2 linked regions of the Lonchura striata genome follow. The protein of the gene in region 1 interacts with the protein of each later gene in a biochemical or structural test. Links are inferred from orthologs where the notes say so. Each region holds a gene or a part of one and is shown in the gene's direction. Other genes may lie near its edges.

Region 1 (8,042 bases):
ACACCTCTGTCTGATTGCGGAAAGTGATAGAGTGACATAATGGAAGTTGCACTTAGTGATTACTTTAGTAATGGCAATGATTACCAAGTGGAGTCAAACAGAAGATAGGAAGAGAAAAATTAGTCTTGGCATTATCATTATCCACTCTAAAACTAAAAACCTACATCTTTTAATACATGCAGGCATGAAGCAAAGGAAAACTAAATGATATCTGAGTTCTTCAGTGTTAGCATGTCTGGGTATACATCTTTAGCTGTATGGGTCTTGACTGCTTTAAGCCAGTGAGATTTCTCAACAGTTCAAACAAGCTGGTGAAGCCATGAAAATTTAGTAGCCACCGATAATCTGTTGATCTTAATTTCTTTCCTCACTGGGGTGTCTTTGCTACTGAAGGACAATATGGCTTTCTCTTAGGAAACAAGGAAGAAAGATCTCTCTGTGCATAATTGCTGTCTTTACAAGGTGCTGTCTGGCTGAGTTTTATGAGTAACTGGTCCCTTTTGTACCCCTTGCTGTCTACCACTGTCCACTACTTCCCCATCCCCACTCCTGCTAATCCTTCACGTGTCTGCACAGGTACACCAATTGCCTTGGACACCCCAGACCGTTAGGTTTGCATCCTCATCAGTTGCAACATTTCCAGTTTACCTGTGGTTTTTTAATAACCTGTCATTTAGGTTTTTTCCTTGTCTTTGCCTCTGTTAGTTCATCTGTTGGGTTTGTGTCTCTCTTTGCTGGGTTTGTTGCTCCCCCTTTACTTGTTATGCCCTTTGGTATTGAAAGGTCCTTGATCAGATACCTATAAGTGAGCAGAGACTCTGTGCCTATACATAGCCTTGCACAAACAGGTTTGTTTCCAAGAAGACTGAAAACCTTGCTTCAGTGTAGTTTTTTTTTGTTTGTGTTTTTTTTGGGTGTTTGTTTGTTTGTTTTAATCCCATGACAGCTAGCTTTACTCTTTATTTTCTGAAGCCTTTTCACTTTGACTGGAAAAGTAAAAGCTTTCAAAAAGTCCTCAAATGAATAATGTTATTAGGGCCTACAGTCCCGTGAAACACAGACTGTTCAGTTGGGTAGTGCTTGAATTGAATTAATACAGAAATTAAAATTCACTTTCCATCTGTTCATGAGATTTGAGCAGTAGTTGCAGTTTTCCCTGTAAGATAGTGCAACAAAAACAAAGGGAAAACTGCAAGTACTACTTGAACTGAGTAATTAGAGGAAAGGGTGGCAGAGCTGAGAAGCAGTTTCTAAGTGACTGTAATGAGGATGGAGAGGGAACAACATGAAATCCCCTTCTGTCTAGAAGGACTTTGGGTTGTTTTGGTCAGCAGTTGGTCTTCAACTGATGAAGAGAACATACTTGCATTAATTAAGTGTATCCACTAGATTAAAAATAGGGATGCAGACTTAAATGCTTATTGATACACAGCAAGTCAAAGCTGGCTGCACTGAGTCATAATTAGGAGTATGAAAATGAACTGGGAAAGTGTCAGTTCTTTACTATCCCTGCTAGCAGAACTAACCACTGCAAACTTACCATCTTACGGGTTAAACTGCCAGATTGCACAGGAACAGAAAGTAGCACTGGTACAACCTGTTGATGAGTCTGGACATTGAGGGGAGAGAAGGCAAGATGCCTGTCTCCATTTCTCTCTGATTAGGCGTTTCCATAAGAGAAGCAGAAATATAAAATTTATCTTTCTTTACATTTGGAGGGCAAATTAGGGGATGAGACACCTACTGAATGTATACAGAAGGAAATATGGGCTCACCACCCCAAAGGAAAGTAACACAGAGCATGAGACACCTGCTTTATCACTGTGCAGAATGGGCAGACGGACCTGCTTGTCTAGAAACCTCAAGGCTGATATCCTTTGTGAAGGATAAAAGCTACTTTATGGCTTCTGTGAGTCTGGCTATGTCAGTGAAATTGAGACTTCCTATGTCTAGTAGATACATATAGTAACTAGTTTTCAAGATATTATCATATTTCTTTTTATCTCCATTTTTTATTTTCTGAATCAGTGAATATAAAATATAATCAAAGATAAGACAGAAGTAGCATTTACAGAATAAAGTGTTTGATTTCTTCCAATACTACCTTAAAGACTACACCTCTCTAAGTGATAAAGAAGAGCATCCTCCTTGTGCACGTGGAGATTGCAGGAGTGCTTGGAAGTTATATTAAGGTATCATTCCCTGGCATGGAAAATCACTGCCTGTGGAACCTAAGTGTTTCTTATGCTGCTAAGGAGTTACAGACAGATTGGATGAAGGCACAGTGAAATTTTATATGGGAAGTCAGAATAGTTGACAAAATTGGATTTTTATGCTTGAAAACCATAGACGTGATTCCATGCTGTTCACTTAGATATTTCAGACCAAGCAGCAAGTAAAGAAGATAAGATGGTTGAGTCTGGAAGATACTATTCATAAAACTGGCTTTCTTTAGTTTATTGATCCAGTACCAGAATTTGAAAACATTTTGATTTCTGAAACCCGCCTATTTCAGTACCACCAAGCACCCCAGTAACAGCCTACTCCCTTCTAGCAACAGGTAATGCTCAGACCAGTACAATTAGTGATTAATGCATTTTGAGATGTGAAAGCTGTAATCCTAAGATTTCAGATAGTAGAAAGCATTCATTTCCAGCCCTTATGGGTCTTGAGCTATCTGACCTTAAAAATGTCAAGCTTGCACTTTTCTTTAAGTCTGTGAGAGCTGTTTTGCTTTTGGCCCAAGCCTGAAAATAGTATCACACAAAGCTAAGATCATTGCAATGTCTAGTTCCTGAAAACACATAGAAGCTGACTGGATTACTAAACTAATGTAGGAAAAATGTGTCTGAGCTGCCTGGGCCAAAGCTTTTATCTAGGCTAATGGATATATAAACAGCAACACCCACCCCTTCCTCCTCCCTACCCTCCCTATGACCCCCCCCCCCCCCCCGCCCCCATACAATGAAAAAATGGGTTCAGTGTAAATAGTGCTTTTTACCTAGCAAGATTCTCTGAATATGCTAGTATCTGGCTGCTATGTATTTGTCACTGATTACCACAGCTTCTTACAAAGCTGTCACCTTCAGAAGGTTATAATTTAATATCCAGCAGACATTGTTGATTCATCTGCAGTGCTACTTGATTTTATAAATGTTACAGATTAGTCTTGGTGATTTTCCTACTGGTTTTTCAGTTGGTTTTAATTTTCTAGATTGAAATTTCACTAAATAATCATGATAATGAAAACAAGAGCCTGAAGGTCAATGCTAGTGCAGCATTAACAATACTAATACTGTTGCATTCTAACAGTGTCTGTCTCTTCGGGTTCACAGACAACTTGTGTGCTAGAAGAACTGTCATCATGGGCTGTGAAGCACAAGCGTTAATTGGAGCTTTGTGAGAAAAATGCGTTTAGGACATGAAACTTCTCTAGGATATAATTTAGCAGTCATTGAGACTGCTATTGTTAATATTTTTAAACTATAGCAATATAACAGTAAAACGCAGGTCGGAGGGGACCCCTAGAGGTCACCTGAGCAAACGTCTCTCTTAGAGAAGGACAAGTTTAGATCCCATTCGGGACCAACTTCATTACTTTGAGAGGAAGAACAGGGGGAAGGAGCTTGATTGCAAGTTAAGTGTTTTGTCTAACGAAACTCTCCAAGAATGGATAGTTTTGGAAATCATGCATATTCTATACACCTTAAGTCGTGGTAGCCCGGAGTTATTCCAGAGCCATATATGAAGGACATAGCAAAGAAGGGAACAGACATGGCCTCCAGGCTTATTTGTTTTTGCTACAAATGTTAGATTCCTCCAGAACAGGATAGAAAAACAGTGATGAATAGAAACTATTCATAGAAGGGAAAGAAATAAAGTGTTACAATGTATTAAAAACAAAGGAAGGGATTTTGATAGCAGTTGTCTAAATAATAAATTTGTTTAATTCACTTTTTAATTCTTTAAAACATATTTTTTCATACTCTCATTTTTCAAGTCTTCATTTGGAGAATACGGTAGCATTTTGGCATTGGGCGTTTAAACATGCGGCTGTGCAATGCAGAGTGACTGAACTACATTGTAACAGGAGAATAGGTGGTGTTACCACGAACCAAAAAGTATCTATCCACCAGAAGGGGGAAAACAGAATTTAAATCCAAACTAACAGCAAGTTATCATAGTAATTAGTTTGAAGCCTTTACACGCAGGTTACTTTTGATAGTTTGCAGTGGGATTTGCCTAAACACTTCACAGATGTTTAACACAATGTGTTCCCTAAAATGATAAATTAACAATAGTGTCAAAATGTGCCAATTTAATTTGCCAATACTACAACTTTTAAGCAGTTGCTAGGTTTTTTAAAGTCCCCTGGCATTTTTTTTTTAATGGTTAGGTATCAATCTGGCTGTGAAAAAGTAACTGTATTTCTTCTGATAGGTAATTTTGTTTAAATACGATAAAAGCAAGACACTATGTGGAGGAGTTTAAGATATTTTCTGCATGTGTGGAGTCGCTGACGCAGTTAACTACAAGAAGGAGCTTGGAGAAGGTATGAGATACTTTACAGCTGGGATATAGATGCACGCTAAGGTCCAACACTTTGTGTTTGTGTATGTGAACACGGGTGTAGTATTTTGGGAAAGAGGCACTGCCAAGCCCTTTCTAGCATAGCAGTAAGCCTCCGTGCAGGCTGCATGCACAATTTGGTGAGGTGTACTGCACCTCGGTCATTGTAGCTTTCCCCCAGGTGAGGAGGACGACCGGGGCCCGCTCGCAGCGGCGATGAGGCTGCGGCGCCTTGGCACACCCACCCTCACACTTCCTCCTTGGCGGGCGGAGCCTCCTCCCTCCTGGGCCACCTAGGGGCCCGTGTCCAGGGAGGTGAGACGGACAGGTCGGTGCTCTGCAGGGCGTCCCTCGCTCCGAGCTGCCCGGGGCCGGCAGCCGGTCCGGAGAGCGCCGGGCGTGTGACCGACGAGGGGCCGGGCCGCGCCGCCCGCACGGCCGCGCTCCGCTGCGCCGGGAGGCCCCGGAGCAGCCCGGCCGAGCCGCGCCGAGCCCCGGCCCCGCCGGGCCGGCGCCGCCCACGCCCGTGGGGCCCGGCTCCTGCCGGGAGGGAGCGGGCGGGCGGGCGGGCGCGCTGACGCGTGAGGGCGGTGCGGCAGGAGGGGCCGGCCCGGGCGGTGCTGGCGGCGGCAGGAGGAGGAGGAGGAGGAAGAAGATGGTGGCCGCGGGAGGAGCGGCTGGCTGCTGGGCTCTCTGCCCTGCGCTGCATCGCCGCCCCCGTCGGAGCCACACTGCCTGCTGAGGAGGCGGCGCGGACCCGCACCAGGTGCGGAGGGGAGCGGGAGGGGGTCCGGCCGGGCCCCCGCCGCGGCGCGGGTGTCGGGGAGGCAGCGGGCCCGCGGGGCGGGTGCCCGACACCGCGGGATGCTGGCCCGGCCCCGCCCGGCGGCTCCTGCCCGCAGCGGGGTGCGGGCGCTGCGGCGGGCTCCGTCCGGCTGCGTGGGCGTGCGATCTCCGAGCCAGCGGGGCAGCTCGGCACCTGCCCCGCGCTGCGGAGAGCGGCGCCAGCGCGGCCATGACTGCCTCCATCCCGGCCACCGGCAAGGCGTTGCGTGCTTCCCTCTGTTTATTTATTCCATTATTTTATTTGGTGGGGGTGGGATGTGGCTAGAATAATGCTGTGTGGAGCCGTGCATACCCCAGTGCACGGGGTTGCTTTTTTTTTTTTTTTTTTTTTTTTTTAAGATTTATTTTTCCCTACGCACACCTTTCCTATGGTGGATAGGAGAAATGGGGGGCGCGGGTGGGAGGGGGCAATGTGGGGATTTCGCATCCGGCGATCGAATGGTCGCCGTCGCAGCAGGACGGTCTCGGCAGCCTCTTGCGTCGGGAGATGCTGCCGGGGTCTGCGGCCGCGTCCCGCTTTGCAGCAGGGAACTCAAGGGGGGCCTGGATCTCCCCGTCCTCCCCGTGGAGCGTGCTCTCCACCCCTGGGCTGGGGGGAAGGTGACATCTGCTACCTTCTCGTTCTGGTTTCAGGAAAAGGAAGGTGTTTTTTTTTTATTTTATTTTATTTTATTTTATTTTTTTTTTCCCCAGGAGAAGCTGTTTGATAACAATGATTGCCTGAATCACAGTCGTGGCCAGTGCAGCCGTATGCATTACATCTCTTTGTAAGGATCAGAGTCAATAGGAGCAGTCTATCAAGACTTGTTTTACTGCTATCATAAATCTCTTAAAGAGAGGTGGGGCTGTGGGTCTAGGGTGGAAAACTATATCTTTTTGCTTTCTCCTGTTGTAGATTTTTTGGGCTGTGGGATTGCAATTTGGTTTAGAGAGTAAATTGCAGATATGGCTGTTTTCATAGCTGCTGAGGAACTGGAAGGTAGAGATATTTGCCTGACTCTGCATACATTAAGAGTGAGCTAATGTGGGTGTAGGGCAGATCAACCACGTAGCATTTTTCTTGTCTTTGACATGCGTCACGTTACACCAGCTGGTAAGAGTACACCCAGATGGCTGCAGTTTTGTGTCTGCTCTGCAGCTGTGGCCCATGGGTCCCAAATAACTTCCAATATTCCAGTCATAGTATTCTAGGTTCTGCTGCATTGCTGTTAAATCTGGACCACCTGCACCTCCCTTTCCAGCCCATATCAGGAACAAGCATGTGATGCCTGCCTATTCTTCCCAAAAGGTGATGGTGACATAGAATGTGTTTATTCTCTGTGTGCTACCAAATCAAAACTGAGGTGCGTGTTTACCTTTGTGTCTAATGCTGTGGGAGGAAGGAGCAGGATAGACTGTCCGGAAATGCTGTTCAGGAGGGAAGGAGAACAGTTACTGTTTAATTCTGTGCATTTGTGTGTGTTTGTGCAGAAAAATTAAGTGTCAGGTGAATGATAAGGCATGATCACAAGAAACTCTGAAAAAGCAGAACATTAGTGTTGTAGTGCACCTTAGATGAGTGTTTTGGATGTTTAATGAGTGAAATGCAAACCTTAGCAGAAGACAGCTTGCCTTCCTTGGAAAATGTGGTCTGAGATTGGTATATCAATGAGCTTTTAGGCCAAACTGATTTCTACAATGTAATGGTGGTTCAAGGTTGGCTGAGTACTGTGATTCATGTAATTCATTGCTCTGAGTTTTGGACATTTCTAGTTGTAGCTTAAAATGATACTTCTATTTTACATTAGTGCATTATCTTCCATTAAAATGGCAAACTTTCTGGTGACTGTGCTGTCTTTTAACAGATGCAAGGCCAGACTATCAAAAGTATTTACAGATTAGCTCTTCAGTTAAAAAAATGCAAGAATGCTGGGAAGGTGATTTGATACATCTAGGTACATAGAAAAGATAGTTTTGGTTTGTTAAGAGGGAGACATGCCAAAGATTTTGAGTAACCATTTGGTTACTTAATTTGAAATCCTTTTCACAATTTTCCTGAGTTGATAATTTAATTCTCAATCCTCTGTTTATGACAAGTTTGCAATTTCATATCTGTTGGGAAAGGAATGCATTCTGTTTTTTTTTTCTTTGTGCTTTCTTTTTTTTTTTTTTTTAAATTTAATAGAATTGCCTTCATGTATTTAAAAAATGAGAGCTAATGCTTTAGAAAAAATTTTGTGATACAGGATGTAGTGGCATCGTGGATGCCAAAAGTGAGAATCTTGGAGTCCGCCATGCATTTTTTATTTCCGGGCAGGGAACGTGGGTGTAGGTTTTTGAAGATATAAAACATCTTAAAAATGTGAAGATTTTGTTTGCTCTGTGGTAATGTAAGTAATCCATAACACTTTGAATAAAGGGAGTACTAATTTTGAGGCTCGAGTTGATCTATCTAAATAGGAACTCTTTGCATATGAGATTTGAATGGATTTTAATTGGACCAGGAGCTGGCTTCTAACTTCTTTGATACCCTTTTAACCCACAGTCATATGCAATCCTTATGTTCTTAAACTCAAAAAGCCTTCAAGATGAGGACTGTCCATCTTTGAAAGGTAGATAACATTTCTTTCTATAAGCAGTGCTTATTA
Region 2 (7,494 bases), about 62 Mb from region 1:
ATGGTCCGAGAGTAGCAGCCAAAGAACTCTCTGTGTAGCCATGTGTCTTGTTGCAACATTCGAATATAGATTCACAACAGTGCTAAAGACATGAATTCTTCTGTAGGTGCATGGAGCCATGTCTGCTCTGGTTTGTGTTCTGTGTATTGCCTGAGAAAAAAAAATGTTTTAAATCCTAAATGTAGTCATTAGTGTAGGTGCAATAAGTGTAGTTGCAATAAGCAGTAAAATGAGCCATACACAGATGGCTTCTGTCCCCTCCCCTTTTAACAAATACAGCCTGAAAGAAAATTTGCAGCTTTGCACTAAGACAAACTGTGCTATCCTGACCCTAGTGGAAAATAACAAACCAAAACAAGAAACCCAAAACATTGTTAAGACTAGTAGTTAACGCTACTCTTATTTCTGAAAATCAATTTTTACTCTATGTCATACCTACTATATAGAGATATATGATTTAAAAAATACATGTAACAATTTAAGGTGGATATGATAATTATTTTTTCTTTAAAAATGGCTTAAAAACATTGCAAATATCACTATTAGTGTACCTAGCATTATGTGTTTCTGTTCATTTATTTTTGATTTATATTTGTCTTTGAGCATTTCTGCTCTCTGCAGTCTCTGCAGACAATTACAGCAGTGTTTTTCTGCAGGGCTGGGAATAGTACTGGGAAGATTTTACGTGATAATGAAAGAATTCTATTGCATTAAAAAGACACATTCTCCAGCTGCATTATACGACTAGATGCTGTAAAGAGAAACCTGTAATACCAATACAACTGCAGCAGGTGGCACTGGAAGGAGGGTTAACCAAGGCCATGATGCAGATGAGGGGACCAAGAAAACTAAGCAGAAAAAATATGAACATAAACGTTTAAAATTTTTATCCTTATTTCCAGTCTCCTGAAATATAGTTGCAGTATCACTGTTACTTGGATAGTAAATGTGAGCTTGATGGAGCTGAGCTAGTGAAGGGTGAGGTGAAGAAGTAAGTGAATAGCTAATTTCTAATTTGGTTGATGTCTTTGAATGAGGAATTTACTGGGAGGGAATAAAACAAATATTCTCAGTCAGCCAGTATGTGTTCCATAGATTTTTCATACTTCTATTTTTGTGCTTTGCAACCAAATTATTATTTTGTTGTTATTAAATAATATATAGTGAACAACTGTGATACACTGAAAACAATTGTCCTGTAAAGTGGATTTTGTACCAGAGCAGGAGAAAGTGCTTATAACTGTCCTTTTTAAAGTTATAATAAAAGTGATATATATTTATTTATTTATAATAAATAAAGTTATATAAAAGCAATCTGCTTATTAATTGTAAGCCATTTAAAATTGGTTTACAATTTATAAGCTGATTGCAATAATACCAGGACTATGGTTAGTGTGAATTTAAAAGTGTTTCTTCTTTATAGACAAAATGTCACAGTGTAAATAATTTAAAGAGGAATAATTTAGTTTCCGTCTGCTAGAAAAAGGACTTCACTAGAAGGTCCTTTATTTGTAAATGAAGGCAGGCAATACCCAGATCAACTAATTCAAGTTTTGAACAACTAAACTTTGCAGATGTTTTATCTGTAAGGATTATTTTGTAAGAAGATACAATTCTTCTGGGGAATTTGCAGTCTTTCTAAATAGAATATATGAAGATCAATTGGAAAAGATTCTCTATAAAATCAAGTGGTCATAATGTTGCATTTCAAAGGCAAATAAAATGAATAAGCTTTTTGGTGTTTGGGGGAAATTTCAAAAGAAAGATATGAGAAGAAAAACAAAACAGAGTGGGGGAAATTTAAAAATTACAATAGGAAAATAGGCTTGTAAGAAACAGAGAGACTTGTATGAGTTCCAGAAAGAGGAGCTCAGAAGTTAGTGAAAAATCTGGATGCTGTAAGGAAGAGAAATGGCAAACGAGATGCTGGCATACAGAGATATGATTATGTGAGCAGAAATATTTCACGGATGCAGGAGAAAGATACGATGCAGAAGAAAAGAGGAGGTTGCAATATTCTCTGTGAGTCAAGCTATGTTATTTTATGCACTTTACCAGTGCCAGATACCATAGAGCCATCTTTGGATAAATAGATGATTATCTTGATATTCCAGATACATACTGTATAGACTTCTGTAATTCTAGCTGTCCAAACAGAAACATATGTACATGTTTTGGCATACCATTTTATTCTAAGACTGGCTTTTCCAAAATTATAAAAGTACATTATATCCATGTGTATATTTGCATGCAATACAGTCCAAAAAAAAAAAAAAAAAAAAAAGGAAAATTCTATGACCTTTGTCTGTTAGATGTTCATTTTTTATGACTATAAGCTATTTTAGAAAACAAATATTTACCCACAATGGAATTGGCATTTTTACTGAATTTGCATTACATTACCAGAATAATAATTCTTTCTTATTCAAAGCCCTGGGGATCTTAGAGCTAATCCTAAAGAACATCACTACATTGAAAGTCCTTGCCAAGATTTTATGTGATATTTGTCCTATTTTTAAGCATGAAATTTTGTCTAGCTGCAGAGTCAAGGACCATCTCATGGGATATTCTTTAGAGATGGGATGCAGCACATGGAACATTTTAATACTCATATTAATTTAGTTAGAAGGTCAATATTAACTCAAGGAACTATATAGCAAAGAAATCGAGCTTCTGGACAGTGACTCTGTGGTTGTATTAAACTCTGGAAACAGAATGTAGAATTTATAGGTTGATTTAGGAGAGCTGGAAGGCAGGTTATGATTCACATAATCTTTAATACAGTTTCTTCACGCATTTTTGTTCAAATAAAAGTTGACATGGAGAAGTGGAAGGCCAGCTGCATAATAGCTTGTTAACTTCACTTGAAACTTTCTACCCAATATAGCAATTTAGAAATGGGCCTTTTTGTCTCAATCATGCTGATTTGCTACTTTTGAAAGGATATAACAAAAACTTGCCTTCTAAGTTTTTTTTTTTTTTTTAGTTGTTTCGGCTGAGCTGAAATACATTTTTGCAAAACCTAACACAGTTTGGCTTTGGTAGCATAAAACCAGAACACATTTTACTCTTTACTTGTGTAGATGAATAAGAATATCCTTCAGCGGACAAGGTAATGGATTTAAATAATCAACAAAAATTCAGAAGCTAAGGGAGCTTAATTCATGTTTTGTCTCTATCCCACAGTTATTCTTGACACCAAACAGTTCTACATAGCAATTTGCAGAAAAGTCTGTAGTTTCTGCAACGCAGAAGAGGGAACACTCAGTAACATTATACCTTGTGTCTAACCCACAGACAGCAGTATCACTTAGGATGAATAATCCCGTTGGTACACAGGAGCTGGTAGATAGCTCAAATGAAGTAGGAATACAAAATTTGGACCACTAGACTAAATATGCAAATGCTGAGTCTGCTTTTGATATATATCACAGTCATAACGCATGCAGGTTCATACTGTCATTGTAATTTCTGCCAAAACATAGGCAGTGCATACAGCATGAACACTGCAGAAGCAGCAGTGATGGGGCCATTGATGTGGTCCTTTAATGCAGCTTTTACCCTCACTAATGTCATGAGTTTGCTAATACGCAGTCATATTTCTCACACTTGAGAAATAATGTTAGCATATACAGTAACTCAGACCGTTTCACAAAAAAAGCAAAGCAAACTCAAGCAAACAAACAGAAAACCAAACAAAACCCCCCAAAAAACCATACACTTTTAAATTATAGTTTGAATGTAATGACTTAAAATTCCTCTGAAGTTCTTTCTCAAATGAAGCTATTTCCCAAACACAAGGAATAGGAGGGTTTACTTCCTATACTTTGTGAAAGTATAGGAAGTAAAATGCTCTATGTGGCATTTGGGGGCAAAAGTATTTTGGGAAAGACAGGTGCAATCATACGTTTATATTATGTTTATGTGTTTACTCTTAAGAGTTGAGAATATAACTCTTTAATGCCAGCATTAATAAAGCCCTGCAGGGACAGTGGTGGTGCCTTTTCCCGAGGGGCAGCCAATCACTCGCTCCTCAAGCGAAGGCAGCAAACCGCTTTCCTTTTAAGAGAGCAGAACTCGCAACTTGTACAAAAAAAAAAAAAAAAAAAAAAAAAAAAAAAAAAAAAAAAATTAAGAAAGGAATAAAAATCGCTAGGCGGGGGAAAGGCTGGGCAGCGCGCAGAGGCAGCGGCGGCGCAGGGGCGCAGGGGCGCAGGGCAGGCGGAGCGCCCAGCGCCGCCCCGGGGCCGCCGCCGGGGGTGTCCGCGCCGCGCGGAGCCGCAGCGGCAGCAGCGCCGAGCGCAGCCGGCAGCGCCGAGCGGAGCCGGCAGCGCCGAGCGGAGCCGGCTGCCGGCAAAGCCCCGGTGCCTCTGTGGCACTGCTGGGGGCGAGGTTCTCGCTCTCTCGCTGCTGCTCCTCCCGGCTTGCTGCTGCGAGACCGAGAAGCAGATGCGGAGGTGAGCGTGCGTGCGGCAGGAGATGCGGAGCGCGCTTGGCTGAGGTGCAAGACCCCTGGGAAGCGCTGCGAGAAGAGGCGGGGAGAGGCAGTGGGAAGGAGGCAGGAGCAGAACTGAAGTACAGCGCAGCTGTTTCCGAGTACTCTGGTTCTTTTGGGTGCCTCAATGATTGTGAACATGGATTCTGTCACTGAAATCTTCTTGAAGCTGCTCTTTCTCCTGTCTGTTCATCGCCAGCACATGGCAGTGGCAGGGAATAAATGTAAGTATTGCATATGCTTTAAAACTCAATCCAGAGTGTGTTGAAAACTTCTGGATTTTTTTTTTTTTTTGCATTACAATAAATATAATTTTTGAGATGAACATTTATGCTTTGAAATCATGACATCAAGCTGCTAGCCTAAAAATTTTCTAAAACTCTTCTATAGATTTTTGTCATGAGTCTGTGTACAGAATGTTGTTTATAAAGCTTACTGTATAAGAGTATCTGAAAGCAGCATTTTCTAAGGGATGCATGTTCAGATGTATTTTAATTTTGTTTTCTCTTTTGAAGTGCAGTATTTTCCAAGGAATTGTGTCTTATGTGGAAATTACTGGCAGACTTCTATTGTGCAATGTTTCTATTGTGTAGTGGATTTTAGCATTTGGAAATTTTGAAAGCTGGTATCTGCATATCCTGGATTAAGCTGGCACTCAACTTGAATGGCAATCACAGTGCAGTTCAAAAGCAGTAGAAATGTAACAAGGAAAAATGTGGGTAGCAAGGCTCTAAGGTCTCTGCATTGATTGCTTAGGGAGTATTGTTCATGCATGACTACAGAAGAGAATGCTAACAGTTGCAATAGAAAGTTTTTTGTTTGGTTGTTTTTTGTTTTTTGGTTTTTTTTTAATGAGTTAACCCATAGAGTGGTATCACAGAATAAAGACTGTGATTACATTTTTAAGGACAATCTGCTCTCTAGGAGGCAAATCATATATACATAGATGAAAGATAGATACACATACACACACACATATATATGTGTACCTGAAAAAATTCTGTTTCCGGTATTGATTTAAACTAATTACCTTTAAATAAAAAAGGAAAAAACTTATTAAGAAATTAATTTTCAGGGCTTTTATAATTCAGTAATAGAACTGAGTTATTTTTGTTCCATTTGATTCAGCTTCAACAAGCTGGAGGATTTCATTTTGTGTTCTGTGGTAGTGCAGTAGCCTAAATGCCAGATGCTCATAACCTGAATTGAACATATTTTCTCCCCTTCCTGTTAAGGCACTGGTTGTGCATCACAGGAATGGGAAGGGCTGAAGTAATGCTTCTGTGGGAAGAAAGTGCATGCCAAAGCAATGAGGAATGTTCAGGAACAACCTTATAGCCCAGTGGCAGGGGACAGCTCCCTAGAAACATTTGAGCAATGGCAGAGAAGTTTGAAGTGCTCAGTAGATCTATAGCCTAGGGTTTTGCATATGGATGGTTTGTAAACTAAACATGCTCCCATGAGCCAGACATTCACACTGCAGCACCAAAATGATCTTGTGCTGTCATTCAGTAATGATATCTCATTTGATACTCAAGTGCATAGTGTAGCCCTAAACATGAATACTAAGTTCCTCATGTTAAACACCCTGCTGCAATCCAGTCACAGCTTTAATTCTCTTCATCATTCTGCATTGTACAGTTTATGAATACATCCATTTTCACAAGACCATGATAATTGAATTGCACATTAATAGCATTTGGCACTATGCACGAAACTAAATCAGTTCCTTACAGGGAGGCATATTAAAACCATTGCAAAGAAAAGCTTGCATCACACAGCAAAGCAGTAAAGCACTAGAGGTCACTCTTACAATCTCGGAAGCAAGGTTTGAGGAAGAGGCTCAAGCTTCTTTCCAATATAGAATTCTGAAGGATGAAACAAATCAAGTATAAAATACATTCACTACCTATTCACTTTCTCAGCTACATCTCAAAAACAGGGCAAAATCCTATGTCAAATGGTTGAATTGAATAACAGAGTTTTTCCTGTATATGCTACTATTTTTAAATGCAAAGTATTTTTATTTAGGAATAAATCCTAACTACTATGTCAAAACACTGATCTGAATTGAAAATACAAGAACTCTGCCCGTGCTACAGGCAGGTTACATTATTATGGGAAAAATAAATTAAATTATTTAAAATAAACAATGAACACTAACCTATGGAGAAAACTTGGCCAGCATAAAGCATATTGTTTATTTTTAACATCTAATGTGAAAAAAAAATCCCTATATATATTATTTTGGAAGTGAACATTTCTGTAGAAGAGGTAGTTTGTTTTAGAAGTGACAGTTTACATCTTAAGTATTATGGTACAAATTTTGTTACCATATTACAATTCAAAAAAATTACCTTAGGAGAAAAGGTTTTTCATAATTACTTATTATGGTAGATCCATGCATGAGCCATTATCTACTTACTTGAACTTTACTCCTTTTTTCTTGTAGTGTTAACCAGGAATTGAAATCTTTTTCAGTAGGTGCTTCTACTATTGGCATTAATGTACTTAAACCCATTTACAAAATCAGGTAAAGTTTGAATGTCTTGAATGAATTTTGATGGCTAGATTTTTCAGTAGGCTGCCAATCATCAAACACAATAGGACGAGGTTTTAATTTTCCTTCTATATTAATATTTTTTCTCATTTTAATTTTATGGTTCTTTCTGTAGTATTAGATCCTGAATACTTAAGTTTTGCTTTGCCTTTAAGGTCAGCGCCCAGTAAGAAAAGACAAAATCAAAGACCTTTAAAAGTCATTTTGAAGTGTTATTGGTAATATTACTAAGTCAGTAGTCCGAAGAAAATTTCCTAGATCAAAAATTGATGTGTTTAAAATTATTTCTGTCTTAAAAATTTGCAATATTCCTCTTTTGAATAAAATGATTCTGAATTTCTTAGGTTTTGGGAGCTAACATTTTTAATATTTTAAATATTTTAAATTTTCTTTTAAAATATGAAATTTTATTTCTAGGGTCTTATTTTGTTTGTTTCCC

Evidence for each region.
Region 2: the proteins of APBA1 (region 1) and CNTNAP4 form a complex in vitro, tested with the Homo sapiens proteins (2 studies listed by BioGRID and IntAct, with this or other methods). The link is inferred for Lonchura striata from reciprocal best matches to the Homo sapiens genes APBA1 and CNTNAP4.

The regions. Positions count from the first base shown.
Region 1 is NC_134642.1:71,715,187-71,723,228, forward strand, and holds the start of APBA1 (amyloid-beta A4 precursor protein-binding family A member 1), read left to right. Parts: upstream 1-4,814; 5' UTR 4,815-4,897; intron 4,898-5,161; exon of another isoform or gene 5,162-5,335; intron 5,336-5,502; exon of another isoform or gene 5,503-5,609; intron 5,610-5,838; exon of another isoform or gene 5,839-6,703; intron 6,704-8,042. UniProt on the Homo sapiens protein: Putative function in synaptic vesicle exocytosis by binding to Munc18-1, an essential component of the synaptic vesicle exocytotic machinery. May modulate processing of the amyloid-beta precursor protein (APP) and hence formation of APP-beta.
Region 2 is NC_134642.1:9,353,039-9,360,532, forward strand, and holds the start of CNTNAP4 (contactin-associated protein-like 4), read left to right. Parts: upstream 1-4,314; 5' UTR 4,315-4,622; coding exon 4,623-4,719; intron 4,720-7,494. UniProt on the Homo sapiens protein: Presynaptic protein involved in both dopaminergic synaptic transmission and GABAergic system, thereby participating in the structural maturation of inhibitory interneuron synapses.